Ovis aries: one gene and its partners. The protein of the gene in region 4 interacts with the protein of the main gene of each other region in a biochemical or structural test. Links are inferred from orthologs where the notes say so. Each region holds a gene or a part of one and is shown on either strand. Other genes may lie near its edges. The genes, in order: LNPK, PDCD6, FBXL17, KLHL12 and DRD4.

Region 1 (3,874 bases), on a different chromosome or scaffold from region 4:
TCATTCCAGTAGGCAGGTGTATCTATCACTCTACAAGTGAAGGAAAGAGATCAAGGCTGAAGATGTGAGAATGAGAGAGACAGATGGTAATTAAGTCCATGGGGGTTGATGAGAGCCTTTAAAGAGAGAATACACAGAGTGAAGAAATGCTGACAAGGTAGAAAGGTGAAACATCAACATGTAAATGATGGGCAGAGGAAAAGAAACCTGCAAAGGACACTGAGAGAAAAGGGGCAGAGGAATAAGAGAACAATAGTGTGAGAAGGCAAAAGCCAAATGAGAAAAAGTGTTTCAAACTAAAGGGAGCACCCAAGAGTGTCAATGGAATAAGGTAAGAACTGAGTTTTTGCTGAATTTAGCAACAAAGTTATTCATTCACATAATAAATAATAAATGTGTCAAACACTGTACCAGGCTCTGGAGATACAAAGGTAAATAAGATAGAACCTTGCACACAAAGACTCTTAAGTCTTGAAGAAATACAGTAAACTAATAAACAGATAAAATACTCACAGATTATAATAACAGAAAAAGTGACAGGATCAAGTAAAAGGCAGAGACCAACCTTAGATATGGACCTTGGGAGGGCATCTCTCTTGAGGAAAGAACATTTAAACTGAGACCTAAGGTGGGAAAGGGTTTAGCTTAGTTAGAGGATTGAAAAGACACCCTAAGACTACAGCATAATGGTAGAAGAGAGATGGAGAGAAAAGCCAGACATGTTTGTAGATTATGCTAAGGGCATAGTGAGAAGTTTAGATGATGACCTGCTGAGCATTAGTAAGTAGGGAAGTGAAGGTTACTCTAGCTCACAGCACTGATTAGTTTGCTTTTCCTCATTTATACTAGTCTTAATAATCAGAAATAGGACATTATACCATTCTTCAACCATTAATTGTTTATTATAATATCAGAAGAAACTTTTTTATTTTAATAGGTACTACATGATTACAGCATGTTACCCATTATATTAGTTTACCTACTTTAACCTTCTTCCATAGATACTTCTGATATCTACTTAATTCTATCACTAAATTATATTTCTCTGAGATTACTCATTTTTCAGAATTTGAATGTTTTATAACAAGAAGACTGAGCAAAGTGTTACTCAAATATTATGGGCCAATAACACACACACCAAAAAAACTGATGGGCTTCAGCAAAAAAGAAAAAAAGACTATATTCTATAGTATTATTATATTCCACAGTTTCAGGTTCCTATTGCCTTAATCTATGCATTTATATACATGTATATGATAAAGAAAACCTATCAGAAAACTTTGGCTTGATTCTGATCGGCCAAATTATATTTCATATTTTTTTTTCATTTCCTTATCTGCAAGAAGGAGAATTCAGAGCCCTTCCACATTTCACAAAGATATCAAGACTATAAATATCTACTATCAGACAGTCAGCTAGGCCCACTACATAAATTACTTTTTATTTTCCTCATACTCCAAAAAGTAGGCATTCTTCCAATTTTAAAGATGAAAAAACATGACCTCAGTGAGGTCAGGTGACTTGCCCAAGACTGCAGAGCTAGAATTCAAGCCCAATCCTGTAATCTTGAAAACTCTCAGACTATTAACACATTTGTGTTCCTTTAAAAAACCTATCAGATATAAGATATTAAATCATAAAGGTGAATTTTTAAATAACAAATGGTATTTTATTTAATTTTTAACAAACCATATATAACTTAGAAATACTTGCCATATACACCATTCCTGTATATTCCTTCCTTTGGCATAACTTGATAGTTTTTTCTTAGTAATAGATAAAAAGAAGATAGAAAAGATAACAACAAGAATTATTATTCTGGGTCCAAAAAATTGCCAGTTAGTCTTTAATACACATATTAAATCCAATGAACTACTAGTAATTAACTGCCTATTCTCACAAAACTATGTCTCTCAAAATTAAAAACTACAAATGGCCTAAGGTTTTCCTGAATCAGAAAAATCTAACCTCTGATTAGAAACTCTAAATGTCACTAATTCTCTGAACTTAAAAGGTAACAAATTTGAATAAAGGATCATAATTCTTTCTCAGCATAATTTATAGATTTACTGAATTGTGAGCTCTTCCTACTAAGACTTTTCAGGTACCTAAGTCATCTACCAAGATATTGTCTGAAGTAGTCTAGATATTTAACAAAAAGAAACTGCTGCCAGATCATCTTTATTTTCCTTAACAAAATACACATAAGAGCACAAAATTCATTTATAATGTCAGCATTATTTTACAAATATAAATAATGTTCAAAATTCAAGTACAGTCAAGTGCAGAGATATTTCCTATATGTTAATATGTAAACATAAGCTAATTATATACATCAGGTACCTCTGGCCCAGCTGCAAAATAAGAGACATCAAAAGTAACACTGCACTTGACTGTTCAACTGTAAGAATTCACACAAATGCCTATATTGTTACTGTAATAACTTTCATACCTCTTGATGTAAATGCCTAAATAGATATTTTACCCCCGGCAAATATCACAAGAGTTAAAATTCTATCCATTTTAATAATGAAGTATTAAAAATCTTAATTGAGTTTCATTCCTTAAAACAAACGCTATTAGAACTTATTCCTAACCAAGGTTCTTCCTATGCCAAATGTATTTACAGGCCACAAGTAGAAAACAAAACTTGTTACATTTGTTTACTTTTAGAACAGAAAAAAATACCTAAACATTGTCTAAACAGTGTGGGTTTCTGTACATTCAAAAGGATTTTACTTTACTGACACCATTTGCTTTTAATTTTAAAACCCAGTAGACATAACTTTGACAAATTGAAATAGCTAGGCAATCTGAAATTCAAACGATACCAAGCATGTCTTTGAGGGGGCGAAAATAAAGAAAGCACTACCTTAAAAAGCAATAACTGACATCAGCAAGACTACAAATATCCAGTTGAAGGCACATGGAAGCATTTACTACATTGTCAAAGATTCTCCACTTAGTTCAGGATTAGGAACAGCATCAGCTCTGGGAACTGTGGACTTGTCTTCACTCACTGAGGTTTCTTCATTCTCGGTCTCTTCTTGTTTCTCCTCTGGTTCCTCTATGCCAGATGCTTGTTCAATCACTGGGTTTGTCTGCTCTGTATCTGGTATTTTGTCATCTGTCTGTTCTGTACTATTATCTAGAACATCTTGTTCTTCTAAAGATTCTGAAAAGATAAAGAGTAAAAACTTTAGGAATAGCCAATGTTAATAACTACTAAATAAGATAAGCACGTGCAAAGAAACTAAGAAACAGAAGAATAGTCTAACATTATCCTTAAAATATATCTTTTTAATGTACTTAAGTACTTCATACACGCATACTCAGTCGCTAAGTCATGTTGACTCTTTTGTGATCCCATGCACTGTAGATCACCAGGCTCTTCTGTTCACGGGATCTTCCAAGCAAGAATACTGGAGTGGGTTGCCAAGCCCTTCTCCAGGGCATATTCCCAACATGGGGATCAAACCAATGTCTCCTGCATTGGCAGGCAGATTCTTTACACTGAGCCACTTTGGAAGCCTATCCCTATAGCATACTATATATGAAATGATATGAATGAAGGAAAAATCAATTTGGGGGAAACATACCCATAAACATAATTTTACCTGAAGTCCCATTGTTCACAAAATAAATGAACTTTCATAATACTTAAGAACTTTCCTAAAGATGGATTTGAAAGCTGAATGTCTGAATATATAAAAATTCCAATAGAATTATATATTATAAGACAACAGCCCAGCAAAAACAGCAAATGCACTAACTCCCAGATTATGTTTCCTGAAGGAACTAGTCTCTCTTGCATCCAGGCAACACTGTGACCGATGTATAAATGTGTACCTTTGTAGGGTGCATATGTGTGTAT
Region 2 (4,618 bases), on a different chromosome or scaffold from region 4:
AGGTGGCACTAATGGTAAAGAACCTGCCTGCCAATGCAAGAGACCTAGGAGATGCAGGTTGGGAAGACCCCCTGGAGAAGGAAACGGCAACCCTCTCCCGTATTCTTGCCTGGAGAATCCCATGGACAGAGGAGCCTGGCGGGCTGCAGTCCACGGGGTCACAAAGAGTCAGATCCAACTGAAGCAACTTAGCAATATGAAAACAGAGGTCCATTCCGGGGAGAAAACTGAAAGTCAAAGTAACTCCAATCTTAACAACTCTGGGAATTTGAAGAGCAGGAAGAGAACTGACTCGTGTCCATCCTCAGGGACTGAGGCCGGGACACACAGCACAACTGGAAACAGGAGACCGGCTCGAACTTCCTCCAGGACGCTGAGGCCCAGGAGCCAGACGCAGCTGCAGAGACGACCCCAGCAGAGCGAGAGGAGGAGACAGGCAGCACCCAAGAAAAGGGAGGGGCCATGAGTGCAGAGACAGGAGCCGCTCAGCCCCGGAGGAATGGTGGGCACCCTGGCAGGAGGAGCAGAGCCACAGCCAGCCTGTGCCTTCAGGTGGCCAACGGGAGGAGGCGGGTGGGACGGCACCAGGTGTGGGGGAGTGCCTAGCTATGCGGGCACACATCCTGATTCCAGTGTGCCACCTACCTCTGTTCTGGGGCTGAGAAAGGACTAGCGATCGGTACCCACTCATAACCAGACTTCCTGCAGAAAAAGCCTAATTGAATCTAGGAAGATATTCAGAGCACAGCAAAACAGAGCAACCTCTGGTTATGCAGGATGGGGGGACAAAAGCCTAAGAAAGCATGGGGTCCCCGACTATCAGTGAAATTCACCTCTGAAAATTCTCAGCTTGCGGCACTGGTGAGGCAGAAATTTAAAAATTTTAGCAGCTAATTTAAAGAGGAAAATGCGATTGGTTAAAAAAAAATCACAGTTTATAAGATACACACAAAACAGGTAAAACAACCATCACAAGCTGCTCCACACAAAAACCAGCACACCCCCAGGGAGGAGAGAGGCAGCCACGGCAGGGGGGGGAGGGAGTCCCTACCTCCCTCTGGGCTCAGTGACTACCAGTAAGCTCTCACCCAGCCCCAACAGAAGCCGAGGAACCCCTCAGGGCAAATCAAGAAATGTGACTCCACAGGGTCACCAGAGCAGGCCCTGATATACACTCAGTGGCTGGGTTAAACACACTCCGTCTCCAGCAGGCTCCTGGTTCAACGCTGTGTTCCGACAGAGCCATTTGCTTTAACAACCAGCTGAAATGGCGGCAGGTCTGACATCCTCTAGAGACAGTATCACCTGTGTGATCATTTTAATACCAACCCTTCACCAACAGCAGCAGAGGAGTACCCACAGTGGGGCACACCTCCCTTCCAGTCCACGCGCAGGCCTGGGAGGCACCGTCCACCTCCCACAGCACCAGCCAGCTCCCGCTGGTAAGGGTGAGCCTTTCAGCATCGTCATTACCTCTTAAAATCAATCCCTCTTCAGGTTTAAATGGCACCCCTCTGGAAGACACCACAAATCTAAGGACCAGAAAAAGACAGTGGTGTCTGACGAATCAAAAGAAGGGCAACACAGTCAGGTATTCACTGAAATAAGGTCTCCACGTCAATGGATTAATCACACTGAGACCAGCAAAAAGGTGACTCCAAGGTGTGCCCCCAGAACTGGCACAAAGAGCTGGGACCCTCTTGCCCCTGTCTGGATGACTTGCACTCACCCACTGAAAAGCCTGAGCCCCGAGACCCGGCTGCAGGGCCACCGGCATTCCCAGTTACTTCCTCGGCGTCAGTGGGACCCTGGTGCCCCGCCTCGCAAGTCACAAGACACCGTCACCAGAGAAATTCAACAGCCTTCAATAAACCGGAGGACCATCTGCTGTACAAAGCCAGGCTCCCTGTGCTCCTGGAGCTCACACCCCAGCCTCCAACTCTCAGGCTTTCCCTGGGACCTCCATGCAGCTGCCCCACCCAGCTCCGCAAGGACCCAGAGCAGCTCCGACAGGACGCCCAGGATGGAAGCCCTCCACCACAAGCCAGGGATTAGGAAAGAAGATGTTCACTATGGGTGGTCAGGCGGGCAGTTCACAAGTCCAGACGGCCAGGTGCACTCACCATTGGACAGTGCTTGCTGAAGCTCGTTGTCAGATATCACACCACTCCTGTCCTTATCAACCCTACAAAATTAAGATCAGTTAAACTGGTGATTCAAAGTGCAGGCAAAGCAACACAGGACCAGAACCAAGGTTTAACTCTCCTGTCAATCCTAAATTAATTTCCCTGCTCTTTTCCCTCTGGCTGCTAGACTATCTCACTCCCATAGTCGGGTGGGGAATAAGCAAGCCTGTCTCCTTCACTGTCTGAGGTCCCCCTGCTGAAGGCCAAGCTGCTTCTCCGTTTCTCTTAAGCCTTTCTCCCACACCCTGTCTGAATGCCATTCAGATCTTGTCCTTTTCACAAACAGGAAAAGGTTCTCTTAGACAACTAAGTCACTCCCTGACCTTGAATCACTCTAGCATGGGGCGCCGATTCGCTGGAAGGACGACCGGGTACCGAAGACACTGCGGTGACGGTCCCCTGCGCACAGCCAGGGCCTGGCTTCCCGCCTGGTGGCTGAGGCAGCCACGGCGAGCCCGCGTTTCTGCTCCCCTAACTGAATAAGCGTCCCCGGGAGACCCTCGTCCCCGAGCAAAGGCCCCTCTCTGGGGGTAGAAGGACGGAGGCCGAGCCTCCGGGCGGCCGCTCTGCGCTCCGGAAGTGCCCGGGGGCGGAGAGGAGGTCAAAGCTCGGGGGACGGAGCAGGCCGGGGGGCCAGGGCTCCAGGAGGGAGGCTGGACTGCGGGCGGAGGGGCAGGACGGGGAAGGCCCGGGGCTGACACCGAGGGAAGGGGAGGCCTGCCCGCGCCCGCCCGCCCGCCCGGCTGGCCGCACCTCTGGAAGACGTTCCACAGGAAGCTCTGGTCCGGCAGCGCGGCGCCCCCGGCAGGGCCGGCGCCGGGGCCCGGGCGGTACGGGTAGTTGGCCATGGGCCGAGGCGCAGCAGGGCGGAGGTGCGGCTGAGGGGCGGCCGGGAAGCGGGCGGCGTCAGGTGGCTCCACTTCCGCCTCGGCGAGGGCGAGGCCGGGCGCGCCACTTCCGGGGCGGTCACGGGAGCGAGCGCGGCCAATCCCGTCGCTGCCCCGTTGCCAGGCAACGCCCCCGCGTCCGGCCAGCGTGTCAGGGTCCAGCGAGAGGCTCGGAGCCGCTGGCCGAGGCCACGCGGCCTCCAGGATCACGGACGCGCGTGGGAGCTGCTTCTCCCGAGGCACAGAGTGGACGTGAAGGGCGGGGGCAGTTCCTTCGAGCATGGACTGTCCTTGCACCAAATGAAGGCCATGGAAGGGCGGTGATGGAGCGGAGGACGCGCCAGACTCCTGTGCTTTCCGGACTCCTCGCCCGGCCCCTGCCCCGCTTCTCTGCGTTCCTTCCCCACACCCGCTTTCTTCTCGGTACCACACGACGCCCCCTCCGGCGTCTGACAGGGCCTGGAGCTCCCCAGCTCGGTCTGCACGTGCGTGACCAGGCCCTGATGTCCCCTGCTGACCGTGGTGGGCGGCCAGCGTGTCCCTCCGGCCAGCTGAAGACGCCACCGCCTCCGTCCGGACTTCGACTGAGCCGCAGCGCCCTCTGCGCAGGGAAGCCCAGCTTCAGGGCTCTCCCACCGCCTTCCAGGCTCGCAAAAGTGTTGAGCTGCTGATGCAATCCCGCTGACTTGGTTCATCTTCCTCCCCTGCTTAGCTTGTGGAAGGGCCGAGCACCAGGGAAGCCCCTGATCCTTCCTTTCCTGAAGGGATTTCATTATTCAGCACTCCAAAGCTCTGCAGAAGACCCTGGTTCGATTCCTGGGTCCCGAAGACCTGCTGGAGAAGGGATAGGCTACCCACTCCAGTATTCTTGAGCTTCCCTTGTAGCTCAGCTAGTAAAGAATCCGCCTGCAATGAGAGAGGCCTGGGTTTGATCCCTGGGTTAGGAAGATCCCCCGGAGAAGGAAAAGGCTACCCACTCCAGTATTCTGGCCTGGAGAATTCCATGGACTGGATAGCCCACGGGGTCCCAAAGAGCTGGACACGGCTGAGCGACCTCCACTTTCATTTTCCAGGGCTCTGCATCTGACCTGTTGTTAGTCTCCAATTGTATTGTCCTCAGCCCCCTTTAACCACCAGACCATATGCTGGAGAGTTCTTTAAACTCTTCAAAGAGATTAAAGTATTCTGATTTGGGCACTCACACAGATTATTACTCTACAAACCTCAACAATGTGGCTTTTTTCATGACTTAATGAATTCAAGTGCTTTCTAGTTTTATCCTCCTAAAGCATTCACTGACTCGATGGACGTGAATCTGAGTGAACTCCGGGAATTGGTGATGGACAGGGAGGCCTGGCTTGCTGCGATTCATGGGGTCGCAGAGTCGGACATGACTGAGCGACTGAACTAAACTGAAAGCATTCACATCACTTGCTGACTAATCCTTTCTACAGTTTTCCACAGCTCTTTGATCTGTAGTTTCTGAAACTTGTTTATTCTGTCTCCCACCTCTGGCTCATTTTTCTCTAGAACACTACAAAATTA
Region 3 (4,434 bases), on a different chromosome or scaffold from region 4:
TAATTTCCCCAAATGTTCCTTAGAACAAGTTTTCGACAGTCCTTAGCAAAAATGTGGAAAAGAACAATGTTGCAAATAAACTGATTGTATTGGAACTCTCTTTATTATGAAATCATGTCCTTCCTCCTTTCTTTTATTTTTGTTTTTGTATTAAAATGTCCTCTACCTCATGAAATAATGACAGTTTAGGTAGAAAGTGGGAAGTATCTGCTTTTTACTTTGTTTTTAAACAGTCTTACTTACCAAATAACAAGACAGCAATCAAACCTCTATGCCAAATATCTGTGGATATTTCATTTGTCCATGTTGTCCACTAAGTTAAAAGATTCAAGAACATTCCCTCTGCCCTAAAATGCACAGCCTGAACATACAGAGGCAGTAATTACTCCTTCAAAAATACACTACTGAAAGGTAAACAACTTCAGTTCAGTTGCTCAGTCGTGTCTGACTCTGTGACCCCATGAACCACAGCACGCCAGGCCTCCCTGTCCATCACCAACTACCGGAGTTCACTCAGACTCAAGTCCATTGAGTCGGTGATGCCATCCAACCATCTCATCCTCTTGGACATGTGGAAAAGTTAAGCTTTCCCAGTTCTTTGCTATATTATTTACAAAAATATTAATATCACAGTAAAACAAATCCAAGCACACAGGATTATAAACATGCAAAAAGTCCAATCAAAGTATATTGTTCAGAATAAAAATTATAATTGATGACAGCTACTTCAATAACAATAAAACTAGCCAAATTCTTATCTAGGTTTTTCTAGTTAGTCTTAAATATCATCCACAGTGATAAAGGGGGTTTATATTTATAAGCTCCAGAAAGCTGCAGTGTGGGGGTGAGAGAGGAGAGAAAATGAACGGAAAAGAAACTTTTTAATACTAACTTACTACAAAGTATCACGTACTTAAATTCATCACTGCTGCTGCTGCTTGACAAAACTGCAAATTTTACTTGGTAGCTGAAAGTGGGACCAGGTTTCCACGGGATATCTACCTCTTCCCCACACACGTATCCCCCCAACAAAAAATACACTTGTCCTTACCGTCTGGTAATCTGTCTGCATTACCTAAGATAATAGAACATAGCATAAATAAAAGGGTTTTCAAGTCAGACAGGCCTAAACTCCGCAGATCTGTCTGTGTGTGACCTTGGGCAAGTCATTCAGCCCCTTGAAGCACCGCTGGCCTGTAAGCTCCACAGGAACACACACCACGTCGGCCTGACTTTCGACTGTAGGCACTTGCGCTGATACATCGGTTTCTTCTTGTGTAAAGATGTTAACAATATTTCTTTCATGGCGTCAACTGAAGGATTCGGTGAGATATTATGTATATAAAGCTCTGGCACTGTGCCTGATCATCGTGGTCAAGTGCTCGATAGATAAAAGGTAACTGTTTTTTGACATCAGCTAGCAGTTATCAAATCTGAAATTACTGTCTGAACACTTTCCAACACTAATATACAAGTCTTTACTCGGTTAAGTGCAAACCGCTCAAGGGATTAAAAAAAAAAAAATTTTTTTTTTCTTTTTTTTTTTCACAGAAAACCTACAGTTTCTACAACAGTGGGCTTGGGACTCTCCTAGGTGAACCGGGATTACGCGCAGCAGACCCAAGCGATTAAAAGGACCTTCAGCGGACTCCAAGCCCCTGCACCTGAAATAACCGGGTGTCAGGGAGGCCCCCCCGCGGGGCGTGCAGCAGAGAGAACCCCCGAGCGGGCCCGGCGGGGGGTGGGGGGCACGCAGACCCACCTTAAGCAGGATGGAGGGCGGCAGCTGGTTGATGTCCGGGGCGTCGGGGGGCGGCTCCCTGTGGCAGTCGCACGGCGGATCGGGGCCCTCCGGACAGTCGGCGTCGCCGCACTCGTGCTGCTGCTGCCGGGCGACCGAGGGGGCGGCGCCCCCCGCTCGGACCGCGTCCCCGCCGGCCTCCGCGGGGGCCCCTCCCGGAGCGGCGGGGGAGCGCGGGGCGCGGAGCGGCGGCGGGGGGTGCTGCTCGGGGCCGCCGCCCGCAGGCCCGCCGCCGCCGCCGCCTCCGCCGCAGGCGCCCCCGCCGCAGCGGGGCTGCTTACAGGGGGTGCAGGCGGGGACCCCGGCCCCCTTCCGCTTGCACACCATCTCGGGGGGCGCAGGGGGCTCGGCCGGCGGCGCCCGGAAGAGCCGCGAGGCGGCGGGCGGCGCGGGCGGACGCACGGGCCCCGCGCGGGCCCACAGGAGGCTCCGGGCCGGCCGCTCCCGGGCGGCGGCGGCGGCCGGCCCCAGCTCCCCGCGGCCGGGGGCGGGCGGCGCGGCGACGGCGGCGGCGGCCGAGAGCAGAAGGCGGCGCGCGGCGTCCTCAGCGGCCAGGCCCGCGCGGCGCCGCGCCGGGGGCTGTGAGGAGGCGGCCGCGCCGTAGGCCCCGAGCGGCCGCGGCGACGACAGCGGCGGCTCCTCCTCCGGGCCGGCGGGGGCGGGCGCGCCGGGGCCGTGCACGACGAGGCAGAGCATGCAGGGCCCGCGGAAGAGGCAGTCCCGGCCCCGGGGCGCCGCCGCCGCCTTGGCCGGGGCCCCGCGGGGCCACCTGAGGAGAGGCCGGCGGCGGCGGCGCCACCAGCTGCCGCAGCGGGGCCGCTTCTGGCGCGGGCGGCGGCGCGGCTCCTTCGAGAGCAGGAGGCCCATAGGGGAGGCCCCGCGCAGGGGCCGGGTCAGGGCAGGCCGCGCGGGGGTCGGCCTCGGGCCCGCGGGCACACGCGGGCACACACACACACGGGCACACACGCGGCGCTGGGGGGCTACATGCTCTGCCCCGGGACGCCGGGAGACCACGGCGGGGCGCGAGCTCTTGGGACCCGACGGAGGCCGGCGAGCCTGCTGACCGCGCGGCTGCTCGCAGCCTGGGCCGCCGCCTCAGTTGGTCAGGGCGGCGGCGGGGGAAGCGCGGGGCGCGCCTCAGACCACTTTAACGGCGGCTCTGCCGGCGGCGGCGCGCGCGCCCGCGGCACAGCTCGGCGCGCCGGGAGCGCGCGGCCCGAGCGGGAAGGGGGCGGGGCCGCGGCGGAGGCGCGCGCGGGGAGGCGGAGCGGGAGCGCGCGGCCCGAGCGGGAAGGGGCGGGGCCGCGGCGGAGGCGCGTGCGGGGAGGCGAAGCGGGAGCGCGCGGCCGGATCGGGGAGGGAGCGGGGCCTCAGCGGCGGGGGGGCGGCTCGGGAGCGCGCGGCCCGCTCGGGAAGGGGGTGTGGCCGATCGGGAAGGGGGCGGGGCCTCGGCGGCGCGCGTGGCCGCTCGCCCCCTGAGGGCCGCTCGGCCGGGCCCGCCGTCACGGGTGCGGGCTCACCGCCCCCTGTCCCCGTCGCCCGCGGTCTCCCGGAGCCCACGCCCCCTTCGTGGGACCGGGGGGAGCCGCCTCCGAGCTCGTCGGGTGACGTCCGTGGGCACAGTCGCGCTGACGTCGCTAGGCGCACGTTCGGGAACCGCCATTGGCCGGGAACCGGCGCTCTCACCGCCCGACCGGACGCCGAGGCCGCTGAGGAGACCCGGTCCCGCCCGAGGCCAGCCCGGGTGCCCGGCGTGCTCTCCGCGAGAATGGTTCTCCCGCGAGGGACTCACGGGTGGACCGGCTCTGCCGTGTTTCTGCGCTTGTCTGCGGACACCTGTTGCTAGGGACGGACCGGCTTTCCCTAAGTGCATTTCAGGATAAACGCACTTATCAGGTAATTTCAATTCAGTCGCTCAGTCGTGTCCGACTCTTTGCGACCGCATAAACCGCAGCACACCAGGCCTCCCTGTCCATCACCAGCTCCCCGAGTTCACCTAAACCCATGTCCATTGAGTCGGTGATGCCATCCAACCATCTCATCCTCTGTCGTCCCCTTCTCCTCCCACCTTCAGTCTTTCCCAGCATCAGGTTATTTTCCAGTGAGTCACTTCTTCACTCAGGTGGCCAAAGTATTAGACTTTCAGCTTCAACACCAGTCCTTCCGATGAATATTCAGGACTGATTTCCTTTAGGATTGACTCGTTAGATCTCCTTGCAATCCAAGGGACTCTCAAGAGTCTTCAACACCACAGTTCAAAAGCATCAATTCTTCGGTGCTCAGCTTTCTTTATGGTCCAACTCGCACATTCATACATGACTACTGGAAAAACCATAGCTTTGTCTAGACGGACCTTTGTTGGCAAAGTGATGGCTCTGTTTTTTAATATGCTGTCTAGGTTGGTCATAGCTTTTCTTCAAAGGAGCAAATGTCTTTTAATTTCATGGCTACAGTCACCATCTGCAGTGATTTTGGAGCCCCCCAAAATAAAGTCTGTCACTGTTCCTGCTGTTTCCCCATCTGTTTGCCATAAAGTGATGGGACCAGATGCCATGATCTTAGTTTTCTTTCTTAGTTGAGTTTTAAGCCAACTTTTTCACTTTTTCAGGTTATTTAGACACACACAGATAAAC
Region 4 (3,926 bases):
CCTGTTTTGTTTCTTCTAAAGTGTAACATTGTGAAGACCAGGGAAGAGGGAGGCGGGAAGGAAAGAGGAGCGAGAGTCCGTCCTCACCCCACTCCCTCCTGCAGTGTGTGAGGAGAAGCAGCCTTCCTCCTCCTCCCAGGGGGCTGTTAGTGCAGTCTCAGGTGGGTGGCGGAGGACTGGTGCCTGGCTGTGTGGGCACACGAAACATCGCCAGAAAGATGCCAACTTGGGAGCACAAGCCCTTAACCAGGGAATTGGGGACAGGCTGGCCTGGCAAAAAAAACATGGTGCTCGCGAAGTGTTAGGGAAAAGACTGCCGTAGTGATTGCCTGGCAAGACACGCAGCGTGTGGAGGAGCTGCTGAGTCATGAGGGGCTCGGAAAGCTGAGCAGAGGAGAGCGCTCCCAGCTTCCAGGATTGCAAGTCTGATTTTTTTATTTTAAATAAATTGTCTCGAGTATGTTGTTTATCTGTGCTTGTACATAAACCTGACATCCTTCGTCATGGTAATCATGTTATAACGAAGGTCACCGGCCTGTGGGCCAGATGCTGTGTTAGACGATTGCCTGTCCCACTCACCCCAGGGATGGTTGTTACCATCTCATTTTACAAGTGAAGAAATAAGGTCTCAGATACGAAATGCCATACAGCTTGTAAATGGTAGAGAGGATTTAATCCTAAATTAACTTAACTTGGTTTGCCATTCCCTTCTCCAGGAACTTAACTTGACTCTAATTGTGATGTTTCCATCGTAAAGCCAGAGCCGTGTGAGATGCCGAGCCAGTGCTCAGCCACAGGGCTGGCGGGGAGAATGTGGAAGCCTGACCATTTGCAGGTCCTCCTGGGCTGCTGCGAGTGGCATTGTTCTTTATTACTTTTTTATGACTGAGTAATATTCCACTTGTGTGTGTCTGTGTGTGTCCCCCACGTATACACCACATCTTTATTCATCCGCTGATGGACGTGGAGGTTGCTTCCGTTGCTTCCGTGTCTTGGCTGTTCTAAGTAGTGCTGCTCTGAACACTGGAGTGCATGAATGTTTTCAAATTAAAGGTTTCATCTTTTTTGGAAATATGCTCAGGAGCAGTATTTCTGAATCATGTGGGACTCCTATTTGTAGTCTTTTAAGAATCTCCAGACTGGTCTCTATACCCTTGAATTTGTTTTTAACACTAAATGATTTAACCAGGAGGGTCCAGAGACCTGGATTTTAGGTTCAGTTCTCTTAGAAATTCTGTGTGAACCCTAGCGACCATCTCACCTCACTAGGTTGTCTGCAGCACAGAACGATTAAGCTTGCTGGTGTCTCCCTTCTCTCCCAGCTCTAGGTTTCCCCATAAATGCGGCGCCACTGAAGTAGCACCGGCTGGGGCAGGAGGCCTGGCTTCAGTCTGTCTCTTTCTATTAATAGTGAAGACCTAGGCTAAGTCACGTTGTTTCTCTGAAGCTCAGACCCTTCGTGTGTTAAATGGCAGTGGCTTCAGACCTAACTGCCTTACCAGGCTGCTGTGGCCATCAGGTGAACTGATAGTAAATGAGAGGCACTCTGAAAAATTGTAAAGCGAGTATTAATGTGAAATACTGCAGTTGCTGTAAGTTCTTAGATAATAAACTCATTTATGTATTTAAACTATTAGGCTAATGGGAATATAGGTTACTGACTAAGAAACTCCTGACATGAATGTACTTATATATTTCGGTTCGTAAAGACTTTACAGTTAGTAAAATGGTTTTCCAAAATAATGTACTGATGACATTTTCTGGTTTCTGGGATTTATTTTATTCTTGGCTTTGTTAGAGAATACTTTTTGATGATTCTGGACTGATGAAGGAATCAAAGTTGATCAAGATGTTTAGTTTCTAACAGACACACACTGGAGTTTTGTAAGTAATCGTAATTTCTAACCTAAGATCTAGTAAAACATTCATAAGGTGACCCATTTTCAGATGGTTACTGTCCTGTGAAGCTGAAGATTTCCACCCTTAGACAAACCGTTTTCTATGCGTGTCTGGCCTCAATTATACTCATAACCCCAAGGATATAGTCTAGACTAAATGTACCACCAATAATTCAGTAATCCCGAAAGAGAATCAACCCAGTATTTGAGGAAGTATCAGACAATCCAGTTGTCTTCAGTGGTACAGTGGTACAGTGGTACAGTGGTACACCCTGAAGGTGGCCAGTGCAGCCTCAGGACAGGTGGGACAGTGCTGGCTCATTTTGGAGGGTCTGCAGCCGGAACTCAGCGAAGTTCATGTTTCCTCTGAAAAGCCCATGGACGCTAGTGGCATGCTCATGGAACTTTTGGTTCTATTCCGTGTCTGCATTTGTTTTAATAAGAGAGCAGCATATTAAATTATTCACAAGTAAAATTGATATTCTCAGAAGGTGTCACCTCTGTGTGCTCTTGGGTTGCACATAGCTCCCCCCATTTGAAAAGCTGCAAATATATGCTGTATTTGCTTTGCATAGATCAAAAGAGACGACCTTTTTTTGTTAAAGACGTGTATGCAGTTAATATTGTTAACATCCCTTCAAGGACCCGGATACGAGCCTCTGCCTTAACCTTGTGGAATTGCAACCACCGTGATCTCACGCCCTTTTCACTTTCAGCTCTCAGAGAAGGGGAAGCCGTATGTAGATATTCAGGGTTTAACTGCCTCCACCATGGAAATCCTGCTGGACTTTGTGTACACGGAGACCGTGCACGTGACTGTGGAGAACGTCCAGGAGCTGCTGCCCGCGGCCTGCCTGCTCCAGCTGAAAGGTACAGCTGCGGAGGCGTGCACCCACAGTGGCCCACGGACGGGCCAGGTCGCGGGAGTGAGGGGCACGATGGGCCTCAGGGTTAATGTCCATGGCTGAGAAGCTGAGGCTTCAGTCGCAGAGTAGAAGACCCTCCAGGTGTGCTCTCTGGCTCTTTAGTAAAGAGGGCACGTGCTTTCTGTTTGTGAAAATATGCAGGAGGGGCCAGTAGAGGCCTTTCCTTCCGTCTGTGTGCACAGCCGTCCTGTGGGGGTCATGAGACACAAGTCATTGCCTCCATGGAAGGGAGCTCCCGCAGGTGCCTGGGTGGGTAAGGGGGCTGGGGGCCACTCACATGGGCCCTTTAACCTTCTGAACCATAGAAACTATCTATTGAACATGTAGGTTGACCCACAAGAGTGAAAGTGTAAGGTTTCCACAGCACTGGAGACGGTTCCCCTTCCAGGTGCCGATCTGCGCTAACCTCCAGATCTGTTTCTGATAGTTTTCAGAACATGACTGGAGGAGTGCGAGGCCTTTGCGTTAGTGCCAGCTCTAAACGAACGTTACACTCAGAGCTTTTCAGTTGGACAGATAGGAGAGTGCCTCCAGCCCCTCCTGTCTGTCCTCCTTTGGCATCTTTCAGTAAGTCCTCGTGTGGAGCAGGGATTAGGTGGATTGTGCTCAGTGACACTTGGTTCTGTAGCGTGACGCCCAGGAGTTTTACAGGCATGTCTTTGTGATTGTGGCGGTGTCCATGAACACAGTCCGTCCTGCTGCACTTGTTTCAAGGCTGCAGCACACATTTGTAAAGGCTTTGCTGAAGGCTGCATAGCACGTAAGATGGAAATAGGATTTGGATTCCCAAAGAATGAAATTTCTAAACTGATTCTTAGGCATTGAGCCAGGGTCCCTCTGATCCCACTCGGAGAGGTTGTGACCCAGGGACTGAGGCCTGTCCTGCCAAGTGTCCTCAGGACCCCTGTCTGTGTCTGTCTAGGCGTGAAGCAAGCCTGCTGCGAGTTCTTGGAAAGCCAGCTGGACCCTTCCAACTGCCTGGGCATCCGGGACTTCGCTGAGACTCACAACTGTGTTGACCTGATGCAGGCAGCTGAGGTTTTCAGCCAGAAGCATTTCCCTGAAGTGGTGCAGCATGAAGAGTTCATCCTTCTCAGCCAGG
Region 5 (4,432 bases), on a different chromosome or scaffold from region 4:
GCCAGCCCTGCCTTGGATTTTCATCTTGTGAGAAAAGTCGCTAGGATTGTGAGTTCTCTTGCTGAAGCCTTCAGGAGGGGCAGGAGCCTGCCTGTCCCTTTCCTGATCCACATGAGCAGGACGGAGGTGCTGGATGCAGCGTGGTGCCCATTCACATCGAGTCTTGCACATGCACTTCCTTTATCAGGCCTCCTGTGGCTGTGCCCCTTGTGAGTACCATCACGGTGTGTCTCTCCAGGGTCTTTGTCTTCTCTTTAACACACACAGGGAGCCCGTGTGTAGGGCGTGCAGGTTGAGAGGGATCTCCTTTGGGGCTTCTTTTCTCTGTGAGGACGTGACTCAGGTAAGATGCGTCTAATGAGTGCGAAGAACTCTGGCGGCTGCTAAGCTCCCAGTGGCCTTCTCCTGGCCTTGGCTGCCGTTACAGCCTCTAGGCTTTGTGGGGTGAGCTCATTTTACCAGGCTCAGACGGGCACACAGCTTGCTCAGGGTGATGGAGCCAGGATCAGGGTTGCCCACCCAACTGCTGGGGTAGGATGAAGGGTCAGGCAGTGGCTGTGGGGTGGAGAGTGGCTGAGTGTGGTCCAGGCTGGGGGAGAGGCTGCTCTGGGGAGTCGGGTGCAGGAACCCAGGTTGGGGTCTGCAGTCGTTGCAGGGGGAGATGAAGGGGCCAGAGAGGCCGGGTCAGGTGGGGGTGTGGAGAGAGGAGTGTGCCCGGAGGGAAGGAGGGGGAGCCTGGACTGGGGCGTGCTGGTGTCTGGTGGAAGCAGCCTGGGAAGGATGGCCCCCATGCGGCTCCATCTTTGCCTCAGGGGTCTGCAGAAGCATCTCTGGAGGGGGGCGCCCAGCCTGGGCCCATGCAGGGTTGCGGCGGTCTCCGAGGCTGGACCTGGTGGCGCTGGCGTGGGTGCCCGCAAGTCTCGAGGGATGGTTGGGCCGCCCTTTCATCCCGTGGGTTTTTCTGGGCGCTGACCCTCGCGTCGTCCCGCAACCCTGCGTGGCAGAGAGCGATGCTGGACCCGCCCAGGCCAATCACATCTCTTCACTGGGCCGGCGCTGGGCCGTGGCGTTTGTCCATCTGCCCGGCCCTAGGGGCGAAGTCCAAGATGGGCCAAAACTGGGTGCAGCTTGGAGCGCCCTGGGGTCCGCGGAACCGGGCGGCCGGGGCGGGACTAAGGCCGGGCTGGGCGGGCCTAGGGGCGGGGCCCCAGCGCGGCCGGGACTGTCCGTGGTGCTGAGCGCCCGGCGGGGCGCGCCGGCCGGGCGCCATGGGGAACCGCAGCGCCGCAGACGCGGACGGGCTGCTGGCGGAGCGCGCGCCCGGCACGGGCGTCGGCGCCGGGGGCCCCGGGGCGGCGGCGGCGCTGGTGGGGGGCGTGCTGCTCATCGGCGCGGTGCTCGCGGGGAACTCGCTCGTGTGCATGAGCGTGGCGGCCGAGCGGTCCCTGCAGACGCCCACTAACTACTTCATCGTGAGTCTGGCGGCCGCCGACCTGCTCCTCGCCCTGCTGGTGCTGCCCCTCTTCGTCTACTCCGAGGTGAGCCCGCGTCGCCCCCGCACGCACACCCTCACCCGCTCCGGATCCCCTGTCCCGTCCACACGGAGGACCGAGCCCGACCCCGCCGCTTGGCTTCTCAGGATCCTGGAGCTGGGCGCTGCGCAGGTCCCAGGACGACCGGAGCCGGGTCCCCTATGAACCTCGCTCCCCTCCCCCATCCCGCTGTCCGTCAGCCCTCCCGCTCTGTCCCTCTCTCCGCGTCGCCTTCTATGTCAGTTACCCAAGAGATGCTTCTGTTCTTCAAGCACAGACCCCAGTAAGAGATGGCTTTGGGAGTCCAGACAGCCCCCTCCCAGCCCCCTCCGCTGGGTTCCAGTCCCCCCAGGGGAGCCAGCTGGCTAGACTGGCAGAGGCAGGCTTACACCACACCGGCTCCCCTGGGGCAGAGACACAGAGGTCACCCCACGAGGCCACAGCCACACAGGACCACGCGTCACTCGTGTGCACGACCCGGGCAGGGCACCCTCACTCCTGCGCTGACGTGGCTCACAGCAGGAGGGACCCTTCTTGGAGGTGCAGGGCACGCCCACTCGGGCTGGGGAAGGGCCTTTGCCAGAACCTGGGTCCGGGAACCGCCACACCCAGGTCAGGTCCTGGCCCTCGGGTGGGTCCCCCTTGGTGTCAGCCATGTCCACTCTGCAGTTTGGGCAGAGAAAAGCTGCTTAGGCTGGGTTGGGGACGCGGTGTCCCGGGCTGTGGGGGGAGGGGAGGCATGGTTTTCTAAGGTGGAGGGTGAGTCCAGGCAGGGCTGGGCAGAGAGGCCAGCAGGACAAGGACGGGCATGACCTACTGCCCCCCCACCCGAGCTGTAGACAGACGTCACAGTGACGGCTCTTAAGCTCCTAATCGTCCCAAATCAGCAGGAGGAGATTTAGAAGGGGCGGCTGTCTGCTCCTTTGCCCTTGGTGGGGGCGCTGGGCACAGGGGCCGAGACTACTACTTCCTAACAATGATGTGGACGCTACCGTTGCCCTCACTTCAGGCGTGCAGGGCCGAGAGTGGGATGACCTGTCCAGAGTCCCAGAGGCAGAGTTTCAGCAGACAGGCCAACTGCGCGGTCTGCTGGAGAAGGGGGTGGGTGCTGGGCTCCCGCTCTAGGGCAGCAAGGCCCCCACCGGCAGGGAGGGGCCCCGCGCACCCTGAGCATCAGGGATCACAGCCCGCCGTTGCCTACGCCGCCCGAAACCCGCTCCAATCCGAAGGCGTTTCCCGGTTCTAACAGGAAGGTGGGAGGTCTCTCTCAGGCGCCCGGCCTGAGGGGAGGGGAGGACCGCCCTGCTTTCCGGGGAGCGACTCCTCCGTTATTCAGCCCCCTCGCTGCCCGCAGCAGCGGGGGTCAGGAAGACATCTCGGGGGCGGGGCGGGAGGTCAGCTTCCCGCGACTACCGTTGCCGCGGCTCCTCCCCGTGCTCAGGTGCAGGGCGGCGTGTGGCTGCTGAGCCCCGGCCTCTGCGACGCGCTCATGGCCATGGACGTCATGCTGTGCACGGCCTCCATATTCAACCTGTGCGCCATCAGCGTGGACAGGTAAGCCGCCCCGCCGCCCTCCCCGCGCTCCCCGCGGGTTCGTGGCCGTGGGCGCGCCCCGTCGGGCCGCCCCGCCCCGCCGCCCTCACCGCGCTCCCCGCAGGTTCGTGGCCGTGGCCGTGCCCCTGCGCTACAACCGCCAGAGCCGCGGCGGCCGGCAGCTGCTGCTCATCGGCGCCACGTGGCTGCTGTCGGCGGCGGTGGCGGCGCCCGTGCTGTGCGGCCTCAACGACGCGCGCGGCCGCGACCCCTCCGTGTGCCGCCTGGAGGACCGCGACTACGTGGTGTACTCGTCCGTGTGCTCCTTCTTCCTGCCCTGCCCGCTCATGCTGCTGCTCTACTGGGCCACGTTCCGCGGCCTGCGGCGCTGGGAGGCGGCGCGCCGCGCCAAGCTGCACGGCCGTGCGCCCCGCCGGCCCAGCGGCCCCGGGCCGCCCGCGCCGGACGCCAGCCCGGCCGCCGCCGCCGCCCCCGGCCCGACCCCCGACGCCGCCCCCGCCCCGGACGCCGTCGCGCCCCCCGACGCCGTTGCGGCCGAACCCTCGCCTCAGGCCCGCAGGAGGAGACGTGCCAAGATCACAGGCCGGGAGCGCAAAGCTATGAGGGTCCTGCCCGTGGTGGTCGGTGGGTACCGGCCCCGGGGGGCGCGGCGGAGGGGGCACGGTGCCCAGGGTGGGGGGCGTGGCCGTGACCCCGCCCGCCCCGCCCCCAGGGGCCTTCCTGCTCTGCTGGACGCCCTTCTTCGTGGTGCACATCACGCGGGCGCTGTGTCCCGCGTGCGCCGTGTCGCCGCGGCTGGTCAGCGCGGTCACCTGGCTGGGATACGTCAACAGCGCCCTGAACCCCGTCATCTACACCGTCTTCAACGCCGAGTTCCGCACCGTCTTTCGCAAGGCTCTGCGCCTCTGCTGCTGACAGAGCGCCGCGCGGCCTCGCCCGGCCGGACCGCCTCGCCTGGGGCTTTGTAGGAGTAATTAAACAGATCCCGGTCACCTGCTGGGAAGGCTTTGGTGGAGGCGAGGAGGAGGCATCCCCACTGGCCCCATCTGGCCAGTTAACCCTTTCCCTCCTTCGAGGAAGGTCCTGGCTGAGCCCTGGGCTGAGCAGCGGGGCATCAGGAAGGTGCATGCTGGGGACGGGCGCCTGCGACCTGGGAGGGCTGCCTGGGCTCACACCCTCCCGCACACACTCCACCCGACTCTGCTCCCGGGCCAGCGGCCGCCTCCCTTGTCCTGGTGGCCCGTCCACCAGCCCTGCCCCCACTTTGGCAGCCCCCTCCAGGTCAGAACGCAGCTCCCGGCCTGCCCCCCAATGCCCGAAGCCCAGGAGAAGGGCCGGGGGGCTGG

The links.
Region 1: the proteins of KLHL12 (region 4) and LNPK form a complex in vitro, tested with the Homo sapiens proteins (2 studies listed by BioGRID, with this or other methods). The link is inferred for Ovis aries from reciprocal best matches to the Homo sapiens genes KLHL12 and LNPK.
Region 2: the proteins of KLHL12 (region 4) and PDCD6 form a complex in vitro, tested with the Homo sapiens proteins (2 studies listed by BioGRID). The link is inferred for Ovis aries from reciprocal best matches to the Homo sapiens genes KLHL12 and PDCD6.
Region 3: the proteins of KLHL12 (region 4) and FBXL17 form a complex in vitro, tested with the Homo sapiens proteins (3 studies listed by BioGRID, with this or other methods). The link is inferred for Ovis aries from reciprocal best matches to the Homo sapiens genes KLHL12 and FBXL17.
Region 5: of the proteins of KLHL12 (region 4) and DRD4, one has a biochemical effect on the other in vitro, tested with the Homo sapiens proteins (2 studies listed by BioGRID, with this or other methods). The link is inferred for Ovis aries from reciprocal best matches to the Homo sapiens genes KLHL12 and DRD4.

What each region holds. Positions count from the first base shown.
Region 1 is NC_056055.1:134,219,350-134,223,223, reverse strand, and holds the end of LNPK (endoplasmic reticulum junction formation protein lunapark), read right to left. Parts: intron 3,176-3,874; coding exon 2,940-3,175; 3' UTR 878-2,939; downstream 1-877. UniProt on the Homo sapiens protein: Endoplasmic reticulum (ER)-shaping membrane protein that plays a role in determining ER morphology. Involved in the stabilization of nascent three-way ER tubular junctions within the ER network.
Region 2 is NC_056069.1:71,838,811-71,843,428, forward strand, and holds the start of PDCD6 (programmed cell death protein 6), read right to left. Parts: upstream 3,095-4,618; 5' UTR 3,035-3,094; coding exon 2,940-3,034; intron 2,186-2,939; coding exon 2,124-2,185; intron 1,533-2,123; exon of another isoform or gene 1,474-1,532; intron 1-1,473. UniProt on the Homo sapiens protein: Calcium sensor that plays a key role in processes such as endoplasmic reticulum (ER)-Golgi vesicular transport, endosomal biogenesis or membrane repair.
Region 3 is NC_056058.1:104,988,196-104,992,629, forward strand, and holds the start of FBXL17 (F-box/LRR-repeat protein 17), read right to left. Parts: upstream 2,987-4,434; 5' UTR 2,669-2,986; coding exon 1,763-2,668; intron 1,649-1,762; exon of another isoform or gene 1,552-1,648; intron 1,397-1,551; exon of another isoform or gene 1,190-1,396; intron 1-1,189. UniProt on the Homo sapiens protein: Substrate-recognition component of the SCF(FBXL17) E3 ubiquitin ligase complex, a key component of a quality control pathway required to ensure functional dimerization of BTB domain-containing proteins (dimerization quality control, DQC).
Region 4 is NC_056065.1:79,290,760-79,294,685, forward strand, and holds part of KLHL12 (kelch-like protein 12), read left to right. Parts: intron 1-21; exon of another isoform or gene 22-161; intron 162-2,614; coding exon 2,615-2,768; intron 2,769-3,746; coding exon 3,747-3,926. UniProt on the Homo sapiens protein: Substrate-specific adapter of a BCR (BTB-CUL3-RBX1) E3 ubiquitin ligase complex that acts as a negative regulator of Wnt signaling pathway and ER-Golgi transport.
Region 5 is NC_056074.1:47,050,164-47,054,595, reverse strand, and holds the start of DRD4 (D(4) dopamine receptor), read left to right. Parts: upstream 1-1,233; 5' UTR 1,234-1,268; coding exon 1,269-1,538; intron 1,539-2,973; coding exon 2,974-3,086; intron 3,087-3,189; coding exon 3,190-3,710; intron 3,711-3,798; coding exon 3,799-4,001; 3' UTR 4,002-4,432. UniProt on the Homo sapiens protein: Dopamine receptor responsible for neuronal signaling in the mesolimbic system of the brain, an area of the brain that regulates emotion and complex behavior.